Linked DNA regions of Mus musculus. The protein of the gene in region 1 interacts with the protein of each later gene in a biochemical or structural test. Links are inferred from orthologs where the notes say so. Each region holds a gene or a part of one and is shown in the gene's direction. Other genes may lie near its edges.

Region 1 (3,500 bases):
AAGCCTCATTGATTTGACTGTCTACTCATCCATCCTCGTTTCCTGCTCTCTCTATCCATCAAATATTGTAAGGTTTTCCTGCCTAGCATTCCCCCTTCTCTATAGCCTGCCTCTTCTTGATTCTTTCAATATCAGATCAGATTTCTTTTTGCAAGGTTTTCTTCCTCACTATTACAGTGCCCAGCTCTACCTTACCCTCTGCTAAATCATTATTTATTGTAGAATGTTTAATGTCCTTTCTGGTAGGAAGTTTCTGTGATGGTTTTACTCATTGTCATTCTGCTCACTAGTTCTTGAGTTGGAAGTTTTTAGATGTGCTGAAAACTGTAGTTACAATGCTACTAATTTCTCCTTCCTAGTATCTTACTAAGACTCCAACTGAAAGTAGCTATATAAAGGCCAGTTCAAAAGGATACAATAGTTAGGGAGTTCTGGGTAAGGCCCTCATCTCTTTTGTAATCTGAAAAAATAGGAAATATTTTAACAATCATCCTGGCTGATTCATAAATTCTATTTCTCTTTAGTTTGGAAAGCTCTCAGCTCTACCTGCTAATTTTGTATGACTCACTTGGTCTTTTGATACTAGAAAATTAATGTTACCAAATGAAAAACTACCTGAGATTAGCAGACTTTTTTTTTTCTTAATTTAAAATGTCTTAAAACATTTCTGTTTGTTTGTTTGTTTTGTTTTGTTTTTTTGAGACAGAACTTCTCTGTGTAGCTTTGGCTGTCCTGGAACTTGCTCTATAGTCCAGGCTGGCCTCAAACTCAGAGATCCACCTGCCTCTGTCTCCTTGGGATCAAAGACGTGCATCACCACCACATCTGAACACCAAATTGTTTAAGTCATAGCACTATCTTGCTGGATCAGTTTCTTGATTTTGTAATACAATAAGCAAATAGGATAGGACAATCCCTTGCAGGTTTTGATTTTTGATTACTGACAGTAAATTGTATTTGTATTTCTTACTGAAATTCTCACAGAAACATTGCCAAGTAGCCCAGCCTAATTTATTTTAGAGTAATAAACACATTGAACCAAAAACACAGATTTGGGGTTTTTTTTTTTAAATTTTAAGAATTACATTTGAACTTTACAACTGCTTAGATATTTTCAATTAACTTTAGATATTAATTTACTTGTAGAGGCATTAAGTATTATCTAGTGGTTGCTTTCATAAATGTGTTACATTCTGTTCACTGGGATACATGAATTAACTTGCGTTTTTAAATACTACCCTTTATTTATCTTAAAATTAAATAGGAAGTACCATTGGCACAAACTGCACAGCCCACATCAGCTATCGTTCGTCCAGCATCATTACAGGTTCCCAATGTGCTGCTCACAAGTTCTGACTCAAGTGTAATTATTCAACAAGCAGTACCTTCACCAACCTCAAGTACTGTAATCACCCAGGCACCATCCTCTAACAGGCCAATTGTGTAAGTGATTCCAGTCACTCACTGACTGTACATGAGTTGTTAGGGTTTTTTGTTTTGTTTTGTTTTTTTATGGTTTTCCCTAGGATATTTAATTACTTGAATTAAAACGTGTGTGTGTGTGTGTGTGTGTGTGTGTGTGTGTGTGTGTGTGTGCGCGCGCGCGCTACACGAGAGAAAAAAGGAGAAAGAGATCTGTCTGTCTTGGGTTTTGGAAACTTTTAATATTTTAAAAATAATATTATCTAACACATTGGACAATAAATATCTAAATCTTAGCTAAAATAATGAAAATAGACTATAAGTTTAAGATGGTCTTACTTTTATGGTTTTTGACACAAAACAAAGCTATTCCATTTCAAGATGACATTTGTCTCAGTTCTTAAAAGTAACTCCCAAGACCTTTCTGATGAGAAATTTTCTCATTTCACAAATTGGAAATCCATGATTTTTCCCCAGGCTTTTTAAAAAAAACACTCTTACATAGATTATGCATTTAAGATGCAATTAAAAATATCTAAGTTTTGTAATTTGCCCTTTTAAGGTTAGAAAACTTATTTTTAAGCAATAGGAGGGAAAAGACTGTTACTTTGCAGAGGTGGTTGGTATGGATCTTTACATTTTTCCCTTGTTTTGTTTTTCTTAGTCCTGTACCAGGCCCATTTCCTCTTCTCTTACATCTTCCTAATGGACAAACCATGCCCGTTGCTATTCCTGCATCAATTACAAGTTCTAATGTGCATGTTCCAGCTGCAGTCCCAGTAAGTTGGAAAGTTAGACCATTTAAATTTAAGTCTTTGTATCTAAACTGGTCTGGGTAAAATAACCAGAAAATATATTTGAACTGCTTGATTGGCTTACAAAATGGAATTTATCAAGTGTTTATTAATTGGGAGTAGTATTTATTCATCATTACCTGTAATCGACTATAATATTCTAGGCAAACATAATTGGATTGAAACCTTTCTTTACCCCCAGCCCACTCTTGTTTTCTGTATTCTTATTGCATTATTTCTTGATTCACCTCACTCCAGTTTGACTAGGTTTATGAAATTCAAATATTTCTTAAGATACTTGTTTTGGAATGCTGGCAAATAGCTATGGTGTTTATAGTTATAAAAATTCTTCAAAAAACACACTTGTCCTTTATGGTTACATGAAGTTTAGTGGCCCAGGCATGTTAAAGTCCAAACATTCATATCTTGGCCTGATGACACATGCCAGGAATCCCAATAGTCAACAGATAAAGATAGGGTCAGAAGAAGGTCATAGCTAGCCTCAGCTAAATAATACATTTTAGGCCAGCCTGGGTTACTGTTGTGAGAAAATCCAAAAAAAAAAGTTTTATGAGAAACACACTAAATACTCAAATTTTGGGAAATAAAGAAAAAGTAATTAACTATATTGAGTTGTCTAGTGAACATTTAAAAACATAATGTTGGGCCAGGCGGTGGTGGCGCACGCCTTTAATCCCAGTGCTTGGGAGGCAGAGGCAGGTGGACTTCTGAGTTCAAGGCCAGCCTGGTCTACAGAGTGAGTTCCAGGATAGCCAGGGCTATACAGAGAAACCCTGTCTTGAAAAAACCAAAAAAAAAAAAAATGCTGGAGCTGTGTGGTTAAGAGCTTGCACTGTTGTTGCAGAGGACATGAGTTCAGTTCCCAGCACCCATTGCAGATGGCTCACAACTGACTATTGCTCCTGCCATAGAAGATGTGAGAACTTGGCACACATGCCCACCCATAGATAAATACATGTACACACAATTGGAAAGATTAAATTGTTATGTAAAAGCACTGTATTTGAAATGATGAAAATTTTCTTTTTCATATCATATTTCACAAAAATAGTTTTATTCATACTTTCAAATTAGTCTTCCAACATTTTACATTTTCATCCTGAAAAGAACTTTTAGATATCTAGCAAAGTTGTCTAAAACATACTATTTTCATTTTCCCTAAATTATTTATGATACATATATAATTTGAAACTTTCTTAAAGAATACTTTAAGCCTTAGTCATTCATGTAATGAATATAGTTGGAGGGTTTTGTTGTTGTTTT
Region 2 (3,500 bases), on another chromosome or scaffold:
GCCATTCTGAAGACAGTTCAGCATTGACTTGAGAAATTGTAGAAAGTGCCTAGGAACTGGGGAGTCCCTGGGAAGTAGTGGTCTTTAAAACCAAAGTGTACTAGATTTGTAAGGCTTTGGATCTCCACTGTACTGTGATCTCTTGAAGACTCTGACCTAACACTTCTGATTCTTGTCTTATAGATGGCCATTTCTCCTTCACGGATGCCTCAGCCTCCAAATATGATGGGCACTCATGCCAACAACATTATGGCCCAGGCACCTACTCAGAACCAGTTTCTGCCACAGAACCAGTTTCCATCATCCAGTGGGGCAATGAGTGTGAACAGTGTGGGCATGGGGCAACCAGCAGCCCAGGCAGGTGTTTCACAGGTACATTCACTGAGGGAGCCTGGTCAACCAGTATTTATATAGCCCCAGCCTTTGTGACATGATCCTGTCTTAGTTGATGGAAACTAGAATTCTAGAATATACATCTTTCCATTTCCCGTTTGCCCTATAATTTTTAATTTGTGTTTAATTTTTCTTGTTCCCTCTAGGTAAACTTCACACATAAAGTAAAATGGATTGTGGTTGTGGGGGTTTTGTTTGTTTGGTTTTGGTTTTTGTTAGTTTGTTTTGTTACTCTTATATTTTTACCTTTGGATTTTGGTTGCTGTTTGTGTGCTTTAGAAATCTAAGATTAACGTCATTCTGAGAAATACTGGAATTTTAAGAAGGGGTGAATTTTCTTTTAGTGACTTGGTTAGTTTTTTGTATCTTAACTATGTGTTGGGGTGACAGAGCTGTCAGAATCATGGGAATAGCACTCTTCTCATGAGCATGTTCCAGTTACTTAGTCATAGCTGAGTTCCCATCCAGTTTACTGCTTTCCCTCACTTTGGTAGTGCATCAAGTGTCAGCTGCATACAAAGTATTTCAAATAGGCTAAATCTTTCTCAAAATATAAAAGTCCTGTCCTTTTAAACACTCAGCTGATGCTGAATGCGTTGTTGAATATATTAGGTTTACTCGGGGATGATTAATTTTCCCTATCATTTCATTTCTTTAGAACAGAGATAAGGAAACCAACTCTATTCCCTTTCCAGAGTCTCTCCATGTAGCCCAGGCTACACTCTTTATATCTCAGTCATTTGCCACAGTGACCAGTAGTTTCAACAGCCAGATAGTAAATATGTTCTCTTTCCAGAGTCATACTCCTAGTCGTTCGTAACTGTTTAGCTCTGCTCTTAACCGTGTACAAGTAGTTACAGACAATGTGTAATCTCCTTGTGGTTGTCATCCTATAAAACTGTTGGTGGTACCTAGGTCAAATTTCTCTCTGGAACAGCCATTGTGATTCTTTTTTTAAAGTTAGGGGTCTCCCCAGTGCTCTATGTTCTACTGTCTCAACTTATTTAAAAAACAAAACAAAACTCCTTTTTCTGTGGTCTAAGTTAAAAGTAGATGTGGCAAAACATGAAGTTAGTAAACTAAGTAAATATGTGCCTAAGCCATGACTATTGTAACCTGATATTGAAGTTCTATAAGTCAAAGTATGAGAAGGATTTTAGTGCTAATTTTATTACATGGTGTGGTGCATGCTATAAATGGTTAGTCTGAAGTTTTACAAATGCAATATCCTCCTGAAACTAGCAGAACTAGTTAAGAAACTAGTATAATTTTTTTTTTCTACAAGTCCCTCATGGTTTCAATTGGGTAAAATAGTTTTTATATATTCTTACTATCTCTTTTAGGGTCAGGTACCTGGAGCTGCTCTCCCTAACCCTCTGAACATGCTGGCACCCCAGGCCAGCCAGCTGCCTTGCCCACCAGTGACACAGTCACCATTGCACCCGACTCCACCTCCTGCTTCCACAGCTGCTGGCATGCCCTCTCTCCAACATCCAACGGCACCAGGAATGACCCCTCCTCAGCCAGCAGCTCCCACTCAGCCATCTACTCCTGTGTCATCTGGGCAGACTCCTACCCCAACTCCTGGCTCAGTGCCCAGCGCTGCCCAAACACAGAGTACCCCTACAGTCCAGGCAGCAGCACAGGCTCAGGTGACTCCACAGCCTCAGACCCCAGTGCAGCCACCATCTGTGGCTACTCCTCAGTCATCACAGCAGCAACCAACGCCTGTGCATACTCAGCCTCCTGGCACACCGGTGAGCCTCTTTGTCCTTATCAAGTCACACTTGTACAGAGTCCCTTAAGAATGGTCTGTCGGGCACTCAAAGCACTGGCAGGCTTATCTTGTGAGCTTGAAGCCAGCCAGAGCTAGGAAGTAAGACTCTTATCTATAAATATAAAATAAAAGACTATTCTGTCTGTCAGGATGCTATAGCAAATTGCTCTGGTGCGAAAAACTCGTGTGTGTGTGTGTGTGTGTGTGTGTGTGTGTGTGTGTGTGTGTGTGTGTGTGTGAAATTGTAGTAAACTGATTTGTTCCCACTATTATTGGCCCTAAAGGTATGGCTTACAGTTTCCCTTGGTCAGAGTGGTTTATAGAAGTCAGTAATCATCAGTATGTCACAGCATGGACAGAACTATTGAACTGTGTGTGCTGCCATTCTTTTACCTGGTTTTTGTTCTAGAGTAATACTGTCGAGGTTTGACTGCTTTTGTGCTTAGTTCTGTGGGTTTAGTTATCATGCTTCGCTCCAGACTATAAAGGTCCAGGCTAATCAGCCTTCTTTCAGAATACATGACTTTTTTTTTTTATTTATAATGAAACAACAGATCCCCTCCTCTCAGGTTTGCATTAATTCTGTTCTTAGATACTTAGGATATTTGTAGAATAACAAAATCATTCAACAGTTGCAAAGATGACATTACTAATTTGCTTTCTCTATAAGGGCATATACTTACTCTCTTTGTTTTTGTCTCCAATTATTTATGTTTCCTGACTTCAAACCAGGCCTTTGTAAACACTAGGCAAGCACTTTGCCACTGGCTGCATCCTATGCCCTCTAAGATACTTGTATTTAATTTTTCAATCTTCCTTTATTAATTTATGTACTGCTTAGAGCCTGTTACATGGTAGTGGAGTGTTTGCTTACTACACCACCATCACTACCCTGTGATAGATGCTTCATATGGGCCATTATTTCATGACCTCTCTGTAAATACTTTTTTTAATAGTTTATAATTTGCCTTTCTCCATAAATAGGAATGTTAGTGAAGAAAAATAATGGTAAAATAATCCAGTCTGAAAGCAGAGAGAAAATAATTTTATGTCAGAATTTAGAAAACTCTGTTTGTCCAGCTCTTCATTTTTGGTAAGAAGTCAGTCATTGTGTTTCTGACACTCAGTGACTGACTGTTAAGCTTCCTCAGGGAGCCTCTGCCCTTCAGTGTTCACACTAAGTACTTAGGCTGTAAAGAAGAATAATGAGCAGACTGCGGTGGGAGGACATGTATGGCTCTCCTTTACAGAGGTGAATGACTGTGATTTCTTTGCAGCTTTCTCAGGCAGCAGCCAGCATTGATAATAGAGTCCCTACTCCCTCCTCTGT
Region 3 (4,260 bases), on another chromosome or scaffold:
GCTCGAGAAAACAACAACAACAACAATAAAAACATCACCACCGGGCTGGAGAGATGGCTCAGCGGTTAAGAGAACTATCTGCTCTTCCAGAAGCCCTGAGTTCAATTCCCAGCAACCACTGTAATGGGATCCAATGCCCTCTTCTGGTGTGTCTGAAGACAGCTACAGTGTACTCATATACATAAAATAAATTAATCTTAAAAAGCTAAAAACAAAACAAAACCATCACCACCAGTATCAAACAAACTCCGGTGGATGTTTAAATCTTTGTGAACTCTGGGGACTGTAGAATTAGCAGCCGTCGACTCTGGGTGTAAGACAGCAAATCTCTCATGAGAAGAAGGATTGGATGCCTGGAGTTTGTTTCAGAAAAATGGGGAAGAGGAATAGAGTCTGAGCCCTGGTCAGTCGCTGAGCCTTAGGATCTGAGAGTCCTGCTTACTGAAAAGACAAGAGTCCTGGGGTCACAGGAGCTCATGTAGAACCCCATGAATTGTAGGGTTCTTGTGTTGTTGTTGTTGTTTGGGGATCTCCGGAGGGTTTTCTGGGAGGAGGGGTGTTGAGACAGAGTTTCTCTGTGTAGCCTTGGCTGTCCTGGAACTCTGTAGACCAGGCTGGCCTCAAACTCAGAAATCCACCTGCCTCTGCCTTCCAAGTGCTGGGATTAAAGGCGTGTGCACCACGATGCCTATTTTTGTTTATTTATTTGCTTATTTGTTTTGTTTAACTATGTGCATGATGACCTGGGTGCTGGAAGCCAAACTCAGGTCATCCTCAAGAGCGGTGCAGTCTCTAACCTGCTGAACAACCTCTCCATCTTTCTGTGGGGTCTCACTATGTAACCTATGCTGGTCTCCAGTTTACTGCGTAGTCAAGAATGACGTTATTTCTCTATCCTTCCTTCCTCCCTCCCTTCCTCCCTTCTTCTCCCCTTCCCTCTCTTCCCACCCTCTCTATCTCTCCCTCCTTTCTTCTATCCCTCTCTTCCTTCTCTGTTCATTCTCTGTATCTCTCCTCTCTAGTCTCTCCTCTCCCTTCTTCCTCAGGGTCTCACCTAGTCTGGCATTGAACTATGTACTGAACTGGACTCAAAATCGTAGCAATTCTCCTGTCTCTGCCTCTATCTCCTGTGTTGAGTACAGACCTGAGCCACCACGCCTTACATGTGAAGGGTATATTTCTTAAACTAGCCCAACTAGCAACAAGTTGAGCGCCCCCCCCCCCGCGCCCTAACCCCATTCCCAACTCTTCCTACAGTCTCTAGGCAGCCTCGCAGGCACCCCTTTCCCGCAGGGCACCCCCCTCCTCCCTCAGCACCTGCAGCAGGTGGCTGGTGGGGCCTGGGGCGTTCGCCGGTGATGGGCGGAGTCCGGAGCGCGGGCGAGCGGTGGGCGGGCCGGGGCGGGAACGTACCTGGGCGAGGCGGCAGGTGCGCCGCCCCACGGGGGAGGAGCGGGCGCGGGGCGGGAGGGGACCGCGGCGGGACACCCGGGCCGGGAGCCCGCGGGCAGCCACCGCAACCTCCTCGCAGGACCGCCACCACGGGGTCCGGGATGAGCCTCACTCGGAAAAGGGGCTTCTACAAGCAGGACATCAACAAGACTGCCTGGGAGCTACCCAAGACCTACCTGGCGCCCGCGCACGTCGGCAGCGGGGCCTATGGAGCGGTGTGGTGAGACCCGGGGACCCCAGGAATCAGAGGAGCCACGGGCCACCCCTCGGCAGCCTCCCCGAGTGAGCCCGGTGGCAGTGGGGCCCCTGTGGGTTGAGTCGCTGGCGAATCTGGTTCTCCAAGGCTGTAACTTTTTAAAAGGGATCTCGGAGTTCGTGGGACAGATCCCTGCGGTTGCAGATGAGGCCCCAAGAGGGGAACTTGCCAAATCGCAGAGCAGGGACTCCTGGCCTGCTCTGCATCCTGTCAGCAAGAACTGCTTCTCTCCTTGCTCTGCCGCCCCTTCCTTGGCGTCGCCCCCTACTCACACACACTCTCTCTCTCTCTCTCTCTCTCTCTCTCTCTCTCTCTCTCTCTCTTTCTGCTGGTCTCCGGCCAGCCTGGGGAGCACAGAATGGGGGTGGCCTAGGACAGGGCTGGAGGGATCTCCAGTTTAGGCCCTTTGCGCCGCCCCTCCCCCTCACCTGCCTGTGACCCCGCAGCTCGGCCATCGACAAGCGGACAGGGGAGAAGGTGGCCATCAAGAAGCTGAGCCGGCCCTTCCAGTCGGAGATCTTTGCCAAGCGCGCTTACCGCGAGCTTCTGCTCTTGAAGCACATGCACCATGAGAACGTAGGCTGCCTCGGGGTGTGGATGTGCCGGGGATCGGAGGGCAGGGAGAGGGGCCCAGGAGGGGCCTGCCCAGGGTCGTGCGCGCAGGGCCAGGAGAAAGAACTTCCTCTGCTCCACCCTGGTTTCTCAGCTCTCTAAGGAGAGCCCAATGAGAAGATGCCAGGGCCTGCCCAGCTCGCTTCCCAGAAAACACACAACCTTTTCTTGATTGTGAGGAGGAAGTAGGCACAGGGGAGCTTCGCGATTGGTTCTGTGAGGACTCCAGTCCGATGAGCCTGGGCACTTGAGCTAAAGCTGCCTCCATTCTGGCCACTCTAAGTCTAACAATAAATACTGAGTATTTAATGCATGCGGGGGTGGGGGCTGGCTAACTTTTATAATCCTCTCCGTAACACATGCCAAGGCACAGAAAGGTTTCCCCGGTTCTGCAGCGGCAGAGCTGAGGTTGGAAGGGGCGGGAGGCAGAGCCTGGTGCCTGACCATTTGACCATCCTGTCTGATGGAAACAGACCCCGTGACCCAGCTCTGGGCCAGGCAGAAGGGCTAGGGTCCATTTCAAATAGAGCCTTGTACATCGTGAACCCTAATCCTTTCAGATAACCTTTCCTCAGTGGCCTCCAGCTTCGAGGTGGAGGGGACTTGCCTCTAGCTCTGGACAGACTGACAGATGTGGCTAGAGACCCGGGGTCCAAGGCTAGAGCTGAGGTCCAGAGTCCCAAGGACCTGGAGTTCTCATCCTTCTCTCCTCTTCCCCCCTTGACCCTCAAGATTTGTTAGTTACAAGTGGGACTGTTCACCCCAAACCCCAAATTTGGGATCAAACTTACCTTGTTCTCAGCCATCTCTCCAGCCCAGGCAAATGTCCTCTTCTGCCTGGGCCCCCAAACTGTTCCCATGCCAGCTGGGGCCACCTTCCGTAGCAGAGGGTGACCTGGATGGTGGCCCTGGGTGGCTGAGACCCTCAGGACAGGGAAGAATGGCGTTGGCAGCGCACCCTCACTGGTGGCCTCTCTCCAGGTCATTGGGCTTCTGGATGTCTTCACCCCTGCGTCTTCCCTTCGGAGCTTCCATGATTTGTGAGTCGGGCTGGATTGGGGTGTTGGCAGATCTTAAGGCTGGCTCGGGAATACTTTGGGGCAGGGTAGCTTCCGCGCAGAAAGGGGTCCGTCCCCCCCCACCTAGCAGTTCTTGTGCCTCTGCTTTTACATTGAGATCTTCCCTGGAGAGGTCCCTTGGCTGTGGGTGGAAGGGCTGTAGGGTACCTGCCCCCCCCCCCCAGAGCTGTCTACACAGCTCCTACCCTTGTTATCAGACCCTGGCACCAAGAAGAGCTGCTGGCCCTCACAGGGTGTGTACTGACTCTCCTCACCCATTCCTGGTGGCCAGGTGTGACTTTGGACTTCATGATACCTAGAGGGTTTTTTTTTCCCCTAGAAGGAAGTGAGGATCAGATAGCCCGGACAATCTGGCTGATGGGGTTTGGCTGTTACAAAGTGTCAAAGTGTCCGGTTTTGCTGGCAGGTGCCTGGGCAAGGATGGGTGTTTGGATGTTCCTGAGAATTCCAGGTGTTAGTGGCAGCTTCTGCCAGGCTTCACATCCTAGTCAATGCTACAGAGGCTGCGGGAGTGTTTTGGTACCTTGTGTGTTTATGTGTTTAAATTGGACCTCTCCTGTAGCCCAGTCTGGCCCCCAACTACCTATGTAGACAAGGATTGCCCTTGAACTTCTGATCCTCCTGCCTCTGATTCTCAAGAGCTCGGATTCCAGGCACTGGTGCTGAGAATCAATCTCGGGGTTTTGTGCGTGCTTGGCAAGAGCTCTACCAGCCTAGCTATGTCCCCAGCCCACTAAGAGTGGAAGGTGTTTTGTTTTGTTTTTTTCCAGACAGGGTTTCTCTTTGTAGCCCTGGCTGTCCTGGAACTCACTCTGTAGACCAGGCTGGCCTCAAACTCAGAAATCCGACTGCCTCTGCCTC
Region 4 (4,227 bases), on another chromosome or scaffold:
TTTGGCTTGACCCTTGGGACCCTCAGAATGGAGACGAGGGGGACACATGAGTTCTGCGAGGATCTGCGGTTTCCTATCCCAGAGGTGACCGGCCCAGTCAGTCTAACCCGGCTTGTCCTCTGCGGAAGGACAGGAGGCCGAGGGCAAGTAGGGGTGTGTTTGTTCTACACTGAAGCACCTGACCTCTTCAAAGTTCCATCTTCCAAGACTCAAAGCTGTTCTCAGGTCCCAGACGCCAAAATCTCGGCACAGCTGGGAACCTTTCTTCCCGTCCCCTCTGCGCCCCCACCCCCCTTCCCAAGTCCGATCTGGAAAATCACCCGCTGCAGGCGGGTTCCTTGTAAGCGCAGTTTCCAGGCTGCACGTATTCAGACCCCCATCTCCCCAGCACCGACTTGCTTTCTCCTCCCCCCCCCCCCCCGAGCTCACCTCACTTTGTAATTCTGAGCTCCCCCCCTGCCCCGACTCGCCCTCTGGTCTCAGCTCAAAACTAAACATACGACCCCTTCAGGCATACTTGTAGGGTGGTTTTGCACAATGTTTATCCGTCAGTGTCAACGGGGACTGTCGCCTTGATAGCTCTAAGTGGCTAAGGGTCGGGGAGTAGGTGCTGCCGTCCTTTAAAACACGAATTTATGAATGAACCCAGTACTGTAGTTAAATCAGGTTATTGTACACTTATTTACAATCCTTCACTTGCTGCTTCCAACCTCAGTCCTAAAGTTTCTCCAGGCAAGGAGCTGGAGAGAGGGGCTGAGAAGCTGACCCCCCCTTTTTCTTCTCTGCACTGATTTGGGATGGGGGGCTGATGTGGGCAAGCTTTCCTTTAGGAACAGAGGCTTCGAGCCTTTAAGGCTGCGTACTTGCTTCTCCTAATACCAGAGACTCAAAAAAAAAAAAAAAGTTCCAGATTGCTGGACAATGACCCGGGTCTCATCCCTTGACCCTGGGAACCGGGTCCACATTGAATCAGGTGCGAATGTTCGCTCGCCTTCTCTGCCTTTCCCGCCTCCCCTCCCCCGGCCGCGGCCCCGGTTCCCCCCCTGCGCTGCACCCTCAGAGTTGGCTGCAGCCGGCGAGCTGTTCCCGTCAATCCCTCCCTCCTTTACACAGGATGTCCATATTAGGACATCTGCGTCAGCAGGTTTCCACGGCCGGTCCCTGTTGTTCTGGGGGGGGGACCATCTCCGAAATCCTACACGCGGAAGGTCTAGGAGACCCCCTAAGATCCCAAATGTGAACACTCATAGGTGAAAGATGTATGCCAAGACGGGGGTTGAAAGCCTGGGGCGTAGAGTTGACGACAGAGCGCCCGCAGAGGGCCTTGGGGCGCGCTTCCCCCCCCTTCCAGTTCCGCCCAGTGACGTAGGAAGTCCATCCATTCACAGCGCTTCTATAAAGGCGCCAGCTGAGGCGCCTACTACTCCAACCGCGACTGCAGCGAGCAACTGAGAAGACTGGATAGAGCCGGCGGTTCCGCGAACGAGCAGTGACCGCGCTCCCACCCAGCTCTGCTCTGCAGCTCCCACCAGTGTCTACCCCTGGACCCCTTGCCGGGCTTTCCCCAAACTTCGACCATGATGTTCTCGGGTTTCAACGCCGACTACGAGGCGTCATCCTCCCGCTGCAGTAGCGCCTCCCCGGCCGGGGACAGCCTTTCCTACTACCATTCCCCAGCCGACTCCTTCTCCAGCATGGGCTCTCCTGTCAACACACAGGTGAGTTTGGCTTTGTGTAGCCGCCAGGTCCGCGCTGAGGGTCGCCGTGGAGGAGACACTGGGGTGTGACTCGCAGGGGCGGGGGGGTCTTCCTTTTTCGCTCTGGAGGGAGACTGGCGCGGTCAGAGCAGCCTTAGCCTGGGAACCCAGGACTTGTCTGAGCGCGTGCACACTTGTCATAGTAAGACTTAGTGACCCCTTCCCGCGCGGCAGGTTTATTCTGAGTGGCCTGCCTGCATTCTTCTCTCGGCCGACTTGTTTCTGAGATCAGCCGGGGCCAACAAGTCTCGAGCAAAGAGTCGCTAACTAGAGTTTGGGAGGCGGCAAACCGCGGCAATCCCCCCTCCCGGGGCAGCCTGGAGCAGGGAGGAGGGAGGAGGGAGGAGGGTGCTGCGGGCGGGTGTGTAAGGCAGTTTCATTGATAAAAAGCGAGTTCATTCTGGAGACTCCGGAGCAGCGCCTGCGTCAGCGCAGACGTCAGGGATATTTATAACAAACCCCCTTTCGAGCGAGTGATGCCGAAGGGATAACGGGAACGCAGCAGTAGGATGGAGGAGAAAGGCTGCGCTGCGGAATTCAAGGGAGGATATTGGGAGAGCTTTTATCTCCGATGAGGTGCATACAGGAAGACATAAGCAGTCTCTGACCGGAATGCTTCTCTCTCCCTGCTTCATGCGACACTAGGGCCACTTGCTCCACCTGTGTCTGGAACCTCCTCGCTCACCTCCGCTTTCCTCTTTTTGTTTTGTTTCAGGACTTTTGCGCAGATCTGTCCGTCTCTAGTGCCAACTTTATCCCCACGGTGACAGCCATCTCCACCAGCCCAGACCTGCAGTGGCTGGTGCAGCCCACTCTGGTCTCCTCCGTGGCCCCATCGCAGACCAGAGCGCCCCATCCTTACGGACTCCCCACCCAGTCTGCTGGGGCTTACGCCAGAGCGGGAATGGTGAAGACCGTGTCAGGAGGCAGAGCGCAGAGCATCGGCAGAAGGGGCAAAGTAGAGCAGGTGAGCAGCGATTCTGGACCTTTGTGGGCTGGGGGGGGGGGGGGGGGCGGAGACTGACGCACAGACCACACAACAGAGAAGGGACGCTACTGACTGCACTTCCTGACCAGGAGCTGTGGCTGCTAGCCCTTTCCCTCCCTTGTCAGATTTTGACAGTTGGACCCAAGACAAACTCTAGACAGTTTCCCTGACAGCTTCCTACTTCATTCTCTAGCCGGGGAGCTTCTTTGTTCCCCTGCTAAAGATCTCACTTTAAATGCAAATCACACTCTGCCTGCCAACTGCAGGTTAGAAAAACTGCTTCACCGAGAGGTGCGGGTGCTGTAGGAGCCAGTTTCACTGGGGTGACTGAATGGAGGTGACACTAGACAACCTTAACTGAATGTTGGTCCTTTTCTTCTATAGCTATCTCCTGAAGAGGAAGAGAAACGGAGAATCCGAAGGGAACGGAATAAGATGGCTGCAGCCAAGTGCCGGAATCGGAGGAGGGAGCTGACAGATACACTCCAAGCGGTAGGTTGAACCAGCTGCTGCTCCTGAAACTTTATTAAAGTTGGAGCTTGGGACTATGGGCGCAGGGTCCTTGAGCATGCCCGTGTCTTATGCTTTCTTATATCTCTCCCTATGCAGGAGACAGATCAACTTGAAGATGAGAAGTCTGCGTTGCAGACTGAGATTGCCAATCTGCTGAAAGAGAAGGAAAAACTGGAGTTTATTTTGGCAGCCCACCGACCTGCCTGCAAGATCCCCGATGACCTTGGCTTCCCAGAGGAGATGTCTGTGGCCTCCCTGGATTTGACTGGAGGTCTGCCTGAGGCTTCCACCCCAGAGTCTGAGGAGGCCTTCACCCTGCCCCTTCTCAACGACCCTGAGCCCAAGCCATCCTTGGAGCCAGTCAAGAGCATCAGCAACGTGGAGCTGAAGGCAGAACCCTTTGATGACTTCTTGTTTCCGGCATCATCTAGGCCCAGTGGCTCAGAGACCTCCCGCTCTGTGCCAGATGTGGACCTGTCCGGTTCCTTCTATGCAGCAGACTGGGAGCCTCTGCACAGCAATTCCTTGGGGATGGGGCCCATGGTCACAGAGCTGGAGCCCCTGTGTACTCCCGTGGTCACCTGTACTCCGGGCTGCACTACTTACACGTCTTCCTTTGTCTTCACCTACCCTGAAGCTGACTCCTTCCCAAGCTGTGCCGCTGCCCACCGAAAGGGCAGCAGCAGCAACGAGCCCTCCTCCGACTCCCTGAGCTCACCCACGCTGCTGGCCCTGTGAGCAGTCAGAGAAGGCAAGGCAGCCGGCATCCAGACGTGCCACTGCCCGAGCTGGTGCATTACAGAGAGGAGAAACACGTCTTCCCTCGAAGGTTCCCGTCGACCTAGGGAGGACCTTACCTGTTCGTGAAACACACCAGGCTGTGGGCCTCAAGGACTTGCAAGCATCCACATCTGGCCTCCAGTCCTCACCTCTTCCAGAGATGTAGCAAAAACAAAACAAAACAAAACA
Region 5 (4,158 bases), on another chromosome or scaffold:
CACGACACTCAACCCATAATCAATTTATTGGGAGGAGGAATGGGGGAAAGGAATCAGCTTAGAGACAGAATCTCGATTTAGCTCAGGCTGCCCTGGAACTCAGGATGTAGATCAGGCTGGCCAGGTACTCCAGCATCTCTCTCCTGGTGCTGGGATTAAAGACGTGCACCACCACACTCTGCTCCATGTTTACTTTCAAGTGTGAATAAAAGTAGGGCCTAGGGCAGTGGTTCTCAACTCTCCAATGCTGCAACCCTTTAATACAGTTCCTTATGTTGTGGTGACCTCCAGCCATAAAATTATTTTGTTGTTACTTTGTAACTAATGTTGTTACTGTTATGAATTGTAAATATCTGTGTTTTCTGATGGTCTTAGGTGACACCTGTTAAAAAAAAGAGGTCGTGACCCACAGGTTGAGAACCACTGGCCTAAAGTGGCATGGGTGAGGCCTTACTGGACATGAAAGCATCCACCCTGGACACCAGGAAAAGGGAGATTTCTAGGCTTGGTGACAAACTGAACTATGCCTGCCAGGGTTGGTAGACCTCCTGGGTCGCCTTGTGCTAGTGGCTGGAGAAAGTCAAGGCTGGGGGCGTTTCCCGAGTGTCAGTGAAGAGAGGGCTTCATAAGGAGGAAAAATACCCAGTACTAAAAAGAGGCCCATGTGGGGACCATACTTGTGGCCCCAATCATGGTGCTGCGCTGTCCCTGGTCCTGACTGCCCGCCGGGAGCTTACCTCTTCCAGGAGCTTCTGGGTCGAGGTTAGGGCAACATGGGGAGTAGATGTCGTCTTGTCTCCTGAAGGCTCCGTCACTTACTAAGACCTAGTAAGTCTACTAGGAGGTGAACCATTAACGCCAAACGGGGGCGTCCTCCTCACCCTGGCCACAAGGCGCCTTCCTCAGTGGTGCCCTGAGTTGGCGCCGTGGCGCTGGTTTTTTAACCTAGAGCCTTTACTTCCCCCTCCCCCCACCACTAATGTTTTTTGTTGTTGTTCTGAAAGTATTATCACCACGTGCTCAAGCTCACTTTTGACAATTTCCCTTCATTTCTGAGGAAGGGGACTGGCCTGGGACCCGGGGAAGGGCAGAGGGGGTAGGTAATATGCAGAAGATGAAGGTGGAGGAGTACAAGCAAGAAGTTTCATCGTCACCCCCATGGGAGGGAAGCAGGCTTTTTCCTTTGTCACGGTCTCCGAGGGGCAGGAAGCTGTGCGTCTGTCTCCGGGAACCCTCAACCTCCACCCACCCCACCCCACCCCCGTTTCCCCGCCCTCCGGTCTCCAGGCTGGGGAAATCCGCCGGGCCTCGGCCCCGCCCCGCCGTCCCGCCCTGCTGCGCCGCCGCCCCCCAGCCCCCACCCCGCTTTGCTCAGCGGTGCTGGGCGTGGGGCGCGGGCCGGGTGCTGCGCGCGGGGATCCGGGGCGCTCGCTCCAGCTGCTTCTGTGGATATGTCGGGTCCGCGCGCGGGATTCTACCGGCAAGAGCTGAACAAAACAGTATGGGAGGTGCCGCAGCGGCTGCAGGGCCTACGCCCGGTGGGCTCCGGCGCCTACGGCTCAGTCTGGTAGGGGCCGGCAAGGACCTGGTGGGAGCTGGGCGGGAAAGCGTGTGCGACCCTCCAGCGCGACGTGGGGTTCCCGGCGTGGGGAGGGGCCTCGCCCTGCCTCCGCCCCCGGTCTGCACGCTTCCGATGAATGAATGGGGGGGAGGGGACACGGAGGAAACTTTCCTACTAGATTCCACTCGCTGGCAGGTAGGGGGGGTCTTCTAATGCCCTCTCCCCCCCCCCCATCTCCGATCCCTTTCCTAGTTTTTCCCCAAAAGACTGAATATTGCGGCGTCACAGCTGGCGGGAGAGCAAGTCTCTGGGGCCGCTAAATGGAACAGTCAGCCATCCGGGTTATTTCGGGCAAGGTCTAAGTAGCTGCAGGGTCTAACGTTCCCCTCAGACTAAGTATTTGAAAAGGGGACCCCCAGCGGGGTGAGGAGACCTTTCTAATTTGGAAGACACCAAAATTTTCCTGTGGATCATACCCGCGCCTCCAGATTCCTAGAAGCTCAGCGGCTTGAGCCTAAGCGGACACCTACTCTCTTGTCTACACCCTACCCCAGTTTACCCAACAAAGGATCTCAGAATATAGGTAGGGCTTGGAGACCAGAGATTGCAGTCTCGATCGTGGGCAGCATCCAGGCACCTGGGATTGGAGAACGGCTGTAGATAGCCCTTGTTGACGGGCTGATCAAGGGTGTGGACACTGGTATGTGCCCCACACCGGGAATGGGGGCTGAGTCTCACATCTTGGATCCGGTGCTGTCATCCGAAGCCTCGGTACTGCTACTGCAACCCTATAGAGGCAAACAGTCCTGCTTTACAGGGCCCAGAGTGAGTTGGTCATGGGATCTCGCCCCATGTCTGCAGCCTGTAAACCCACCACTGAGATGGGTAGGCTTGTTCTGCCGACACTCGCTCCTTATTCTTGCTTCTCAGGCTGTACCCCAGCCCTCCACAGTGAGTAGAGACAGGATACACCCACTCCATCACCCATACATACCCAAGGAGTCGGACAGAGGAAGAGATGATGGGACATGTTGTGTCTGGGATGTTCAGGGACTCAGCAAGTGGAGGAGGATAAGGTTACACGAAAATACATTTTAAAAAAATAATACAATAAATTAGAGGGAAGGAGAGCCAGGGAGGACTTGGAGGGGGCAGGGAGGAAGGTGAAGCAGATACTTTGCAGGGGACTTGGACATTGACTCAGATGGAGTTGTCTCGGGGCTGGACCATCTAGGAGTTACCAGGGAAAAGCCAGATTTCCCAAGGGAGACCTAGGTCTGTCTCCGCTGATCCGTGACCCTGGGTTTGTTCAGTCACCCTGCTGAGGCAGGCCATGGGATGCCAACTTCTTGTAACTTGATTGTACAGAGGCAGTCAAGTAAGAGGATCCTGCTGTTCTAGTGGCCACTCCCCACCCACCTCCACCCCAGAAGTTACTTAGACATTCTGCTTATCATAGGAAAGCCACCTTTCTTCTACAACTCTCTAGTTCCGTGAGCATCCCAAACCACCATGCCCCTTCCCCATCTTCCCTCACCTGGTGGGAATGGGTGGTACCCTGTCTCCATTCACCACTGCAAGGGAAGGGTGCATCCTGAGACGAAGAGAATCGAGGGAGAGAAGGAACAGGAATCACCAGGGGAGCAGGCTGTGTAAAGGTACTGTAGCCAGGGCTCCTTCAGTGGCTTCGCAGCTGCTCCGGGTCTTGAGGCAGAGGGATCAGAACCTGGTGAAAAGCCTTAGGACCACCGCTCAGTCCACGTGGCCTAGGCCCCGCCCACAAAGAAAGCGTGCTCTCATTTGCTCTTTCGAGGCTCTCCAGGTGAAGGATAGAAGGGTAAAGAGGTGCAGAGGTGGCGGGTCCAGTTTCTGGGGGAGTGGAAGTGTGTCAGAGACATCTTCACACTGGGGTTAAACATTTCCTACTATCCATTTGCTGAGTTATAAATTGTGTGTGTGTGTGTGTGTGTGTGTATTTTTTTGTTTGTTTTGGTTTGGTTTCTTGTGAGACAATGTCTCACTAGGTTTTCCGGCTGGTTTTGAACTCAATCTCGATTCTCTCGCCTCTCCCTCTCTCCAAGAGCTGGGATTACAGGCATGAACACCACACTCGGCTTCAATTACAAATCAGGAAGCAATAAACACCTCCGGATAATCTTGCTTCCGCAATCTGATGTGCGGAGGCGTGGGGGTGGGGCGTCCAGGGCTTTGTAGGTAAGCCTCCCACGGCATCCGTGAGGAAGGAGGAGGGCTGCTTGCTGTGGGAGCGCCTGTGGGTACAGTCGTGGTATTTTCCATGCCGTGGCCTTGTTGTGTGTGTGTGTGGGGGGGGGGGGGGCGCTCAGGTTTGGGCTAGAATCACCGGTTCTCTGCCAGAGAACGCTTTGTCCACTCAAAGGGGTCTCCTAAGGGAGGATCAGGAGGGTCGGCGTGGAGGCAGCGCGGGGCGAGCAGGCGGGGACAGGCTTCCTAGGTTTTAGAGCTAGCAACAGAGGCTCACTCCCGCACCCAGCGTCGGGTGGATTCAGGCCAGGCGCTTGCTCTCCTCATTCGCCCACCTTGCAGCTCGGCCTACGACGCGCGGCTGCGCCAGAAGG
Region 6 (4,174 bases), on another chromosome or scaffold:
TTTCTCTGCATATTCTTGGCTATCCTGGAACTCACTCTGTAGACCAGGCTGGCTTCCAATTCATAAGCGATCTGCCTGCCACTGCCTCACAAGTGGTGGGAATCAAGGTGTGAGGCACCATGCCGCCTTGCTGCTTTTAGTTTTTAGTTTACTATTTCAGAAGCTTCCCCTCAAGTTAGAATGTTTCAAGTTCATAGAATGTTTCAGTCCTTCAGGAAACTGTTGCACAACACCTGGACCCGAGTCCCCAAATTTCTATGTCTTTTTCCAGTGTCCCTACCCACAGCTCTCTATACTTTCCCTTGGCTTTTTATTTCTTCACAACACTTAAGTGCAAATATTGTATTTTGTCTGTCTTTTCACTCTGGAAGCATGGCTGGCTCCAGTGCCGTAGATATTCAGCAAATCTTCTTGAACAAACCTCTAATTAGGGGATTCAATGTCTTGTGTTTTGGTTTCTGCTTACTTATGTCTCACACTGTTAGGTGTGTGTCACGGGCAAGAAGGTAGATATATGTAGTTAGTATAACAAAAGTTATATTTTATTATGCTGAAGGTCATCATGCAAGGTTTACAGTCTAAATTTCTTACAGTCCTAAGCCTGTCTCCCCAAGGTCACCTGTGTCACCTATCTTAGCTTCAGATCAGGTTTCTGATTTGAGGATCAGGACCCTGGCGGGGGGGGGGGGGGGGGGGGGGGAGTGGATTCTCTAGCCACAGAGCAGATCAAGGTGTATCTCTCCAGATGTGTAGAGCAAATCACTGCTTTTGGTCTCTGCTTATATTCTGTCCAGTGGGCATCATGGGGTTCTAGGACTGTATCTGGTTATCTTGCGTGAGTGATGTCACTGAGCTCTGGATCAGGAGCAGCCTTGGATGCTGTGGGATTCCTGCTTAATCTAGTTTTATATGTCTAAAAGGCATTTTTTAAAATTATGCTCATTACAGGGTGAAAGTTTTTTTCTGGGTCTGGGTTATGCTTTTTGGTTTCTGTCCCACTCTGATGGTCTAAGTTCATCAGAGTGCACAATGTGGGCCACGTATTCTTAGAGGTCTGTCTCAGGGGTCCCGTGGTTGGTGTGCAGTGAGTCCTCTGGTCTCAAGCCAAGTCCCTGGTCCCGTGTGAGTTCGTTCTGGACCAGGCACAGCACCAGGACAGTGGGTGGGACTCTGTGGGGTCCTTATGCCTAAATTCCAACCTAGCTCTCTAGAGCTACCCAGCGCTTGGGTCTCCGAGCGCACATGACGTCCCTCCCCCGCAGCCGCAGTGCTCCTGCCTCACCTCGCTGCTTCCGCCGACCCGCGAGACTCCGCCCTCTCTACCAAGAGAAGCCAATCAACACGCACGCCCTTGACTCCGCCCTAGCGCCCTTCGACGCGAACCCTTCCCTCCTCCCACTCGTAGCCCGCCCGTCAGGCAGGAAGGCTGGCAGTGGTTCTACCGGCGGTTAATTCTCTCCTCTGTGTTGTCCTCCTTCCTCGTTCCCGATCGCCGGCGGGGGCGGCTACACGGGCGGCAGCGCGGTTCCTGCGGGAAGCGCAGCATAAGTCGAGCGGCAGCCGCGAAGCGTCGAACCGAACGCGGCGGCGGCGGCGGCGGCGGCGGCTGTGCAGCCAACATGGCGGCGGCGGCGGCGGCGGGCCCGGAGATGGTCCGCGGGCAGGTGTTCGACGTAGGGCCGCGCTACACCAACCTCTCGTACATCGGAGAAGGCGCCTACGGCATGGTTTGGTGAGTATCCGCGCTGGATTTCAGGCCCGGCCTCACGCGGTCACCCTGTGCCCCCTGCCTGTGGCTGATCTGGACGCACCCACGGCCCTTCCCGCGCCTTGGCCTCGCGTTCTGCGGCGCCCCGGACCCCTGGCTTCTTGGCCTTCACTCCTGGAGCCCTGGGGCGGGGTCCTGGAGCCGGTCGAGGCTTAGGTGTTGCTCCTCGTCTTCCTCTGCTGCTTCTCGTTTGCGGTTGGAGGGGCAACCCCGATTGAGGCCAGGACTCGAAGACTCCGGGGCTTGGTCTTAAAGCGCGTACTTTCGAGGCTTCTCCCTCGGGACGGGAACGGAAGTACACTGTGTCTCCTAATTTATAGCATTATAGCCACCGCCTCTTGACATTAGATTAAAGCCAGGAATTGTATTAGATGCTTGTCCGTGGTGGCGGCGGCCATGGTTTTGCAAGACGGAATAATAGGCTTGTGTGCTGAGCACCAAAATATTTTTCTTCTCTTCTGTGTACGTGAACAGCATTCACAAAATATCTTAAGTAGCGCTAATGATGCTTTCTGCCTCGGGCTTAACCGTTAATGACACAGCGTTGGTTGTGGACATATTGAAATCTTGAAGTTTCAAAATGGATTTAAATATACCGATTGTGTTTCAGAAAGGATAAGCCAGCATCACTCTAGAATTATTAAGAAGTATTTGGAGTTAGTCCTAATTTGACTTTAAATTATCCCGTCGTTACCCTCAAGAGTACTCTCTTAACAGTGTGAATGTATCCATATGTTTTAGCCCGATTACTGTGATCGTTTCCCCATAACGTTTCAGTGTTCAAGAATAGTTTTTGCACGATCACTTGCAGGATTTCCTGCATGTGGAATGTTGAAGTGTATTGTTTTAACTAAAACAAGTTCATTTATCGAAGGTCTCTGAGATAGTTTAATTTAACTTAGCTATCTTGAGGAAAGAGAAGACAGCCTTTTTCAGATAAGGTATTGAAAGGAAGTCCTTTTACAGGGCGAAGAACTAGAATCAAGCTTTGCTGTAGAAAGATCCTGTTTTAAATGCTTCAGCTCTTGAGCTATTGCACAGGCCTCTCCTTGATTTAATAATCTCAGGACTTCGGCATATTTTCCTGATGAACAAGTCTATTCAGAAATGCATTAAAATTTGAATAGTCATAATTTTAGAAATGCCAGAAAAGGTGTGTTTTCACCAAGTGTGCTAACAAGATAGAATAATTAACGTTCTTTTTTTTTTTTTTTAAAGAAAAGACTCATGAATAGTTATATTTTTATGAGCAAAATGTCTCATAGTATACAATTACGAAGATAAAAGTGAACTGGACCTGCAAGTCAAAAGAGGAATGGAGAAAAAGTACTTTCCATATCACATTTGTCTTGCATGTATTACTACCCTGTACCTGCTGGTAAATATGCCAGTAACACTTATTATTGACACTCATGATTACCCACTATAGGCTCATTTATTTAAGGGGGGATTATTTTAAGTAGGGACAAAAAAAAATTAGGATCTGTCAGTTGAACTCACACATTCCCCACCACCCTGAGAAGATGGATTATTTAGATCCTGTTGCTATTCACCTTTGAAGTTTCCACTTGCTGTGCAGAATTCTTTTTAAAATTCAAATTTTAGGGGCTGGAGAGATGAGTCGGCATTTAAGAGCACTGGCTGATCTGGGTTCAATTCCCATGGCAGTTCACAACTGTCTGTAATTACAGTTCCAGAAGATGAGATGTTCTCATAGAGATGCATTCAAGCGAAACATTCATATGCATAAAATAAAGTTAATTCATTTTTTTAAGACAGGGTTTCTCTGTGTTGTTGCCCTGGCTGTCCTGGAACTCAGTTTTTAGACTAGGCTGGCACCTGCCTCTGCCTTCCACCTGGCACCTACAAATTTTAATTTTAAGAAAAATGCAGATGTAATTGGAATTTAAATCCTAACATCAGCCTTTTATCTCCAGATTGATAACATATCTTAGGTATCTTAGTATTTATTTAATAGTCTTAATTGTATGTCATTAGCATCTCATCAATGTTGAGTTTATGGCAGCTTCTTAAGTATCTACTTGAATAGTTGTGATCTTTAAAAAGTTGGAGAGATGGCATAGTGGTTGAATATCATCTGCTGCTTTTGCAGGACCTAAGCTCAGATTCCTGCATCTACATTAGATGACACTCCTACCCAACCCCTGGCTTCCAAGGGCATCTACACTCACGTGGTGCATAGAAAACTCACTAGGGGACACACACTAAAAACTGAATTTAAGAATAACTCTTTTAAAAAGATTATTTAAGGGATTTTAAGCTGTTCTTTAGCAAGATTTCCCTAAAACAGTTCTCCGGGAATAGTGCCTATCTGTTCAAGTTCCCTTCCTAGTCATTATGTAGAAGACAAAAAGATAAAATGTGGGGGTGGGGTGCAGGATAGAT
Region 7 (3,500 bases), on another chromosome or scaffold:
GAGCCCAAAGTAGTGTATGTTTTGCTTAGCACAGTGTTTAGAATCCATGATGATCTGAGACAATGTTGTGTGTCCACCTTGCTCCCTGCCTAGCTCCCTGTCTTACCGGTTCCTTCTGGATCCCTTGTACACTCTTACCTCACACACTCACATCTGCGACTGCTTGGGAAAGGTATGAACGTTGTCATTGAGATGTTCCAAACAACCCTCAGGTACATCAAACTGGATGACAGGCCTCTGTGAGTGAGGAACCCAAGTGAGCCTCCGCATGGCAGTGTATGGTCCCCTTTAAATAGGGCCTCACATAGAGAAACATACCTTCACTTTTGCTGTTAATGCAATTTGTCACGCCTGTCATGGAGAACTCAGGATGAGAAGGGTCATCAGTTCAAGGTCAGCTTGCGCCATATAGCAAGACTCTTGTCTCCAAGAAACAAAATGGCTTCACAATAAATAAAACTTTTAATTATTTGAAAGTTTTAGAGTGAAACAGGACAAAAGGTAAAGTTTTGTCCCTCGCCCTTACCACTTTTACTTTATATAAATTCACAAAATTGGGGAAAATGAAAACCTCTCTCAGCCCTGCAGCCACTTGGAGACGCCCACAGTAGCAGGCTGCCGAGCTCCTTCCAGCTTTGCACAGGTGCTTCAGTGCTCACCTGCGCCAGTGCCAGCCAGCCCGCCTGCCCAGTGTCTGTCCTTCACAGTTTCAAAGTCGGACTCCTCTCAACAGAACCAAATCAGCAAATGGGTTGATTTGCATTTGTATTCATCAAGGATCACATGGTTGCATAAATAGTTATGAAGCCTGCATTCCCTCTTCTTTCTCCTATTTCTGTCTCCTTTTGAAGCAAACTTTGAATTTAGTTTTTGTTATTTAGAATTTGTTATTGTTGTTTGTTTTGGTTTTGGTTTTTGCCTTTTTTATGTGGCGACAGGGATGAAGGCAGAGCCTTGTGCATCCTAGGCCAGCACTCCATCACTGGGCTGTGTCACCAGCCTGACTTTCCGTTCTCTTAATGAATTACTCTAGTGCTCGTTTCTGTGTCTCAGGGCAGTGTGTTTAGAGCTCTTTGACCTTTTTCAGTTTGTGACATAAGATACTGATATATTCCTCGTCCACAAACCCAGCCGTCATCCCTGTGACCCTCTTCCCCTACCTTCCCACTTTAGTTACAATATGGCTCTGTTTGGTCAGGGTTGTGATTTACATCCTCATAAACATGAAAGTTTCTCATTTGGCAGGCATCAGCTGGGATGCCCCTTGCACAGACACCCAGAGCTTTATTTCTATTAGCCTAGCTGGCCAGCAGATGGCAGTAAAGTAGACAGCTGTTCCTGTCACCACACTTTTTAGGCGGGTATGGTCTGGACCAGGGGCTGTTTCCCCTTCTCTAGGGCTCATTGACAGATGAAGGCTTTCACTGCTGAGTGGTTTCCAGTGCTGCGTGTGTACTGCGTTTGTCTTCTTTGGAAGCGGTGCTGCTGTGACTGCCCACGCGGCTGTGCTGCTTGTCTGCATGCTCAGGCCTGCTAGTAGTAAGGTGCCTCCATACTCTTGGGGTCTTCATCCATGCATTCAACTGGCTGCAGATCAGGAGTATTTGGAAAACAAACATTTCATCTGTACTAAAAACAGACAAATTTTTGTGTGTGTGTAATTACTCCCTATATAATAGCATTGCTTTAGTTATTATAATCATCTAGATATGAGTTAGACAATCCCAGAGGTTGTGTGTAGGTTATATGCAAATGCCATTTCATGTTATGTGAGAGACTTAGAGGCTTTCAGGTTTTGAGCAAAGAAAAACATGGCCACCTGACATGTCTAGAGGCAGGGTCTCAGAAGCCATGTGCCTACCTACCCTCTTTCCCGTTCTTACACACTTCAGTAGCCGCTCATCTCACAAGCCCTTGTTGGTGTGATACTGTGTAGTTAACATGCTGTGATTCATTTAAATACGTGAACAATTTCTTTTCTAGGATTTGAAGCCTAGCAACATTGTAGTAAAATCAGACTGTACCCTCAAGATCCTTGACTTTGGCCTGGCGCGAACAGCCTGTACCAACTTTATGATGACTCCCTATGTGGTAACTCGATACTATCGGGCTCCAGAAGTCATCCTGGGCATGGGCTACAAAGAGAATGGTAAGTACAGTTAGGACTCCAGACTGTAAGCAGTGAGGTAGCATTCCCACCGTCACTGGCACGCCCTTCCACAAGGACCATTGGAGACAGTTTGAGCACTGTGCCTGCAGGCCACAGATAAGAACAGTTTCTTTTGTCTTCCCCAACTCTGGCTGGCCTGAAACTGCCATAGAACTCTGCCAGCCTCTGCCTCCCAAATGCTGGAATTGAAGGCATGTGTCACCATGCTGAACCTCAATGTTTGATCACAGAGTATTGTGCACTGGAGCCCCTGTGCCTCTCTCTCTCCGTGAGCAGGCCCATGTCACCCACAGCACTGAGACCTCTGTGCTCTCATTACCCTGGTTGCCAACACTGAATGGCTTCACTCGTTTTTGTAATAATATGAGTGGAATAATGTACCGTGTTTTCTTTCATGTAAAGCTGGTATTTTCTTAGATCAAAACTTCACCTGTTCTAGCTGTGTCAACTAAATAAATGCTAAACATTAGCTATTAATAAATTCATGTGATTATTTATGAAGGGACAACAAGGGAGCTTTGCTGAAGTCTTCTGAGATGAGTCTGAGTGTGAATTTTTGTACATATTTTGTCACCTGCTCTGAGAGGCACAGTGCCCCTCAGTAGCTGTCTGTGCTTAGCTCTCCCTTCCCTGTCTGAAACACAGGACTCAGTCAGGCCCCATGCTCAACTCCACACTAGAGGGCAGTTACTACAGAGCCATGCTCAAGCAGGGCCTTACCCAGAGTCCAGCCCTTACTAACAGGCTGCCACCTTTCTGATATGGCCATTTAAAAAATGCTCATTCAGATGTGGTGTCAGGAGTTGACAGAAGTTCTACCCAATGAATATTTGCTGGGGCTGCCCATGTCTGGGAGGTGGTTTAGAAACGAGATGCGAGGCTCTGGCTGTTTTTTAATCACCTGATATTTGGTAGTGGACATCTGGTCTGTCGGGTGCATCATGGCAGAAATGGTCCTCCATAAAGTCCTGTTCCCAGGAAGAGACTGTATCCTTCACAGGGAGAGACCCAGTACTTGGCCCTGGAGGCTGGGGTGGGGCTGGGGATGTGACCCTGAGAATTTTGTGTTTATTAGAACTTTCTGTGTCTGGTTTTTTGTTTGTTGCTTTTTTTTTTTTTTAAGCTGTAAAGTATTGGATTCTTTGGCACTAAAACTACAGATTGCTGCAAACTGGAGGCTGAAGGAGAGGTCAGCAACCATTCATATTGTGTGAAAAGCGCACCCTTAGCTAGGCACTGATATTTCCATGTCTGTGTGTCCAGTACACTGTTAGAATCCCTTTCTCTTCACTTTTGTTTTGTTCATGACACTTCATAATTTTATCATTTC

The links.
Region 2: the proteins of Atf2 (region 1) and Crebbp form a complex in vitro, tested with the Homo sapiens proteins (2 studies listed by BioGRID). The link is inferred for Mus musculus from reciprocal best matches to the Homo sapiens genes ATF2 and CREBBP.
Region 3: of the proteins of Atf2 (region 1) and Mapk13, one has a biochemical effect on the other in vitro, tested with the Homo sapiens proteins (2 studies listed by BioGRID and IntAct). The link is inferred for Mus musculus from reciprocal best matches to the Homo sapiens genes ATF2 and MAPK13.
Region 4: the proteins of Atf2 (region 1) and Fos form a complex in vitro, tested with the Homo sapiens proteins (3 studies listed by BioGRID and IntAct, with this or other methods). The link is inferred for Mus musculus from reciprocal best matches to the Homo sapiens genes ATF2 and FOS.
Region 5: of the proteins of Atf2 (region 1) and Mapk11, one has a biochemical effect on the other in vitro, tested with the Homo sapiens proteins (4 studies listed by BioGRID and IntAct). The link is inferred for Mus musculus from reciprocal best matches to the Homo sapiens genes ATF2 and MAPK11.
Region 6: of the proteins of Atf2 (region 1) and Mapk1, one has a biochemical effect on the other in vitro, tested with the Homo sapiens proteins (3 studies listed by BioGRID). The link is inferred for Mus musculus from reciprocal best matches to the Homo sapiens genes ATF2 and MAPK1.
Region 7: of the proteins of Atf2 (region 1) and Mapk9, one has a biochemical effect on the other in vitro, tested with the Homo sapiens proteins (4 studies listed by BioGRID and IntAct, with this or other methods). The link is inferred for Mus musculus from reciprocal best matches to the Homo sapiens genes ATF2 and MAPK9.

The regions. Positions count from the first base shown.
Region 1 is NC_000068.7:73,844,140-73,847,639, reverse strand, and holds part of Atf2 (cyclic AMP-dependent transcription factor ATF-2), read left to right. Parts: intron 1-1,264; coding exon 1,265-1,443; intron 1,444-2,086; coding exon 2,087-2,201; intron 2,202-3,063; coding exon of another isoform or gene 3,064-3,071; intron 3,072-3,500. UniProt on the Homo sapiens protein: Transcriptional activator which regulates the transcription of various genes, including those involved in anti-apoptosis, cell growth, and DNA damage response.
Region 2 is NC_000082.6:4,115,905-4,119,404, reverse strand, and holds part of Crebbp (histone lysine acetyltransferase CREBBP), read left to right. Parts: intron 1-183; coding exon 184-372; intron 373-1,736; coding exon 1,737-2,150; intron 2,151-3,447; coding exon 3,448-3,500. UniProt on the Homo sapiens protein: Acetylates histones, giving a specific tag for transcriptional activation. Mediates acetylation of histone H3 at 'Lys-18' and 'Lys-27' (H3K18ac and H3K27ac, respectively).
Region 3 is NC_000083.6:28,767,857-28,772,116, forward strand, and holds the start of Mapk13 (mitogen-activated protein kinase 13), read left to right. Parts: upstream 1-1,460; 5' UTR 1,461-1,553; coding exon 1,554-1,672; exon of another isoform or gene 1,673-1,734; intron 1,735-2,154; coding exon 2,155-2,284; intron 2,285-3,301; coding exon 3,302-3,360; intron 3,361-4,260. UniProt on the Homo sapiens protein: Serine/threonine kinase which acts as an essential component of the MAP kinase signal transduction pathway.
Region 4 is NC_000078.6:85,472,463-85,476,689, forward strand, and holds the start of Fos (proto-oncogene c-Fos), read left to right. Parts: upstream 1-1,427; 5' UTR 1,428-1,577; coding exon 1,578-1,718; intron 1,719-2,472; coding exon 2,473-2,724; intron 2,725-3,129; coding exon 3,130-3,237; intron 3,238-3,354; coding exon 3,355-3,996; 3' UTR 3,997-4,227. UniProt on the Homo sapiens protein: Nuclear phosphoprotein which forms a tight but non-covalently linked complex with the JUN/AP-1 transcription factor. In the heterodimer, FOS and JUN/AP-1 basic regions each seems to interact with symmetrical DNA half sites.
Region 5 is NC_000081.6:89,146,807-89,150,964, reverse strand, and holds the start of Mapk11 (mitogen-activated protein kinase 11), read left to right. Parts: upstream 1-1,358; 5' UTR 1,359-1,451; coding exon 1,452-1,567; intron 1,568-4,126; coding exon 4,127-4,158. UniProt on the Homo sapiens protein: Serine/threonine kinase which acts as an essential component of the MAP kinase signal transduction pathway.
Region 6 is NC_000082.6:16,982,008-16,986,181, forward strand, and holds the start of Mapk1 (mitogen-activated protein kinase 1), read left to right. Parts: upstream 1-1,374; 5' UTR 1,375-1,619; coding exon 1,620-1,732; intron 1,733-4,174. UniProt on the Homo sapiens protein: Serine/threonine kinase which acts as an essential component of the MAP kinase signal transduction pathway. MAPK1/ERK2 and MAPK3/ERK1 are the 2 MAPKs which play an important role in the MAPK/ERK cascade.
Region 7 is NC_000077.6:49,870,751-49,874,250, forward strand, and holds part of Mapk9 (mitogen-activated protein kinase 9), read left to right. Parts: intron 1-1,983; coding exon 1,984-2,149; intron 2,150-3,085; coding exon of another isoform or gene 3,086-3,157; intron 3,158-3,500. UniProt on the Homo sapiens protein: Serine/threonine-protein kinase involved in various processes such as cell proliferation, differentiation, migration, transformation and programmed cell death.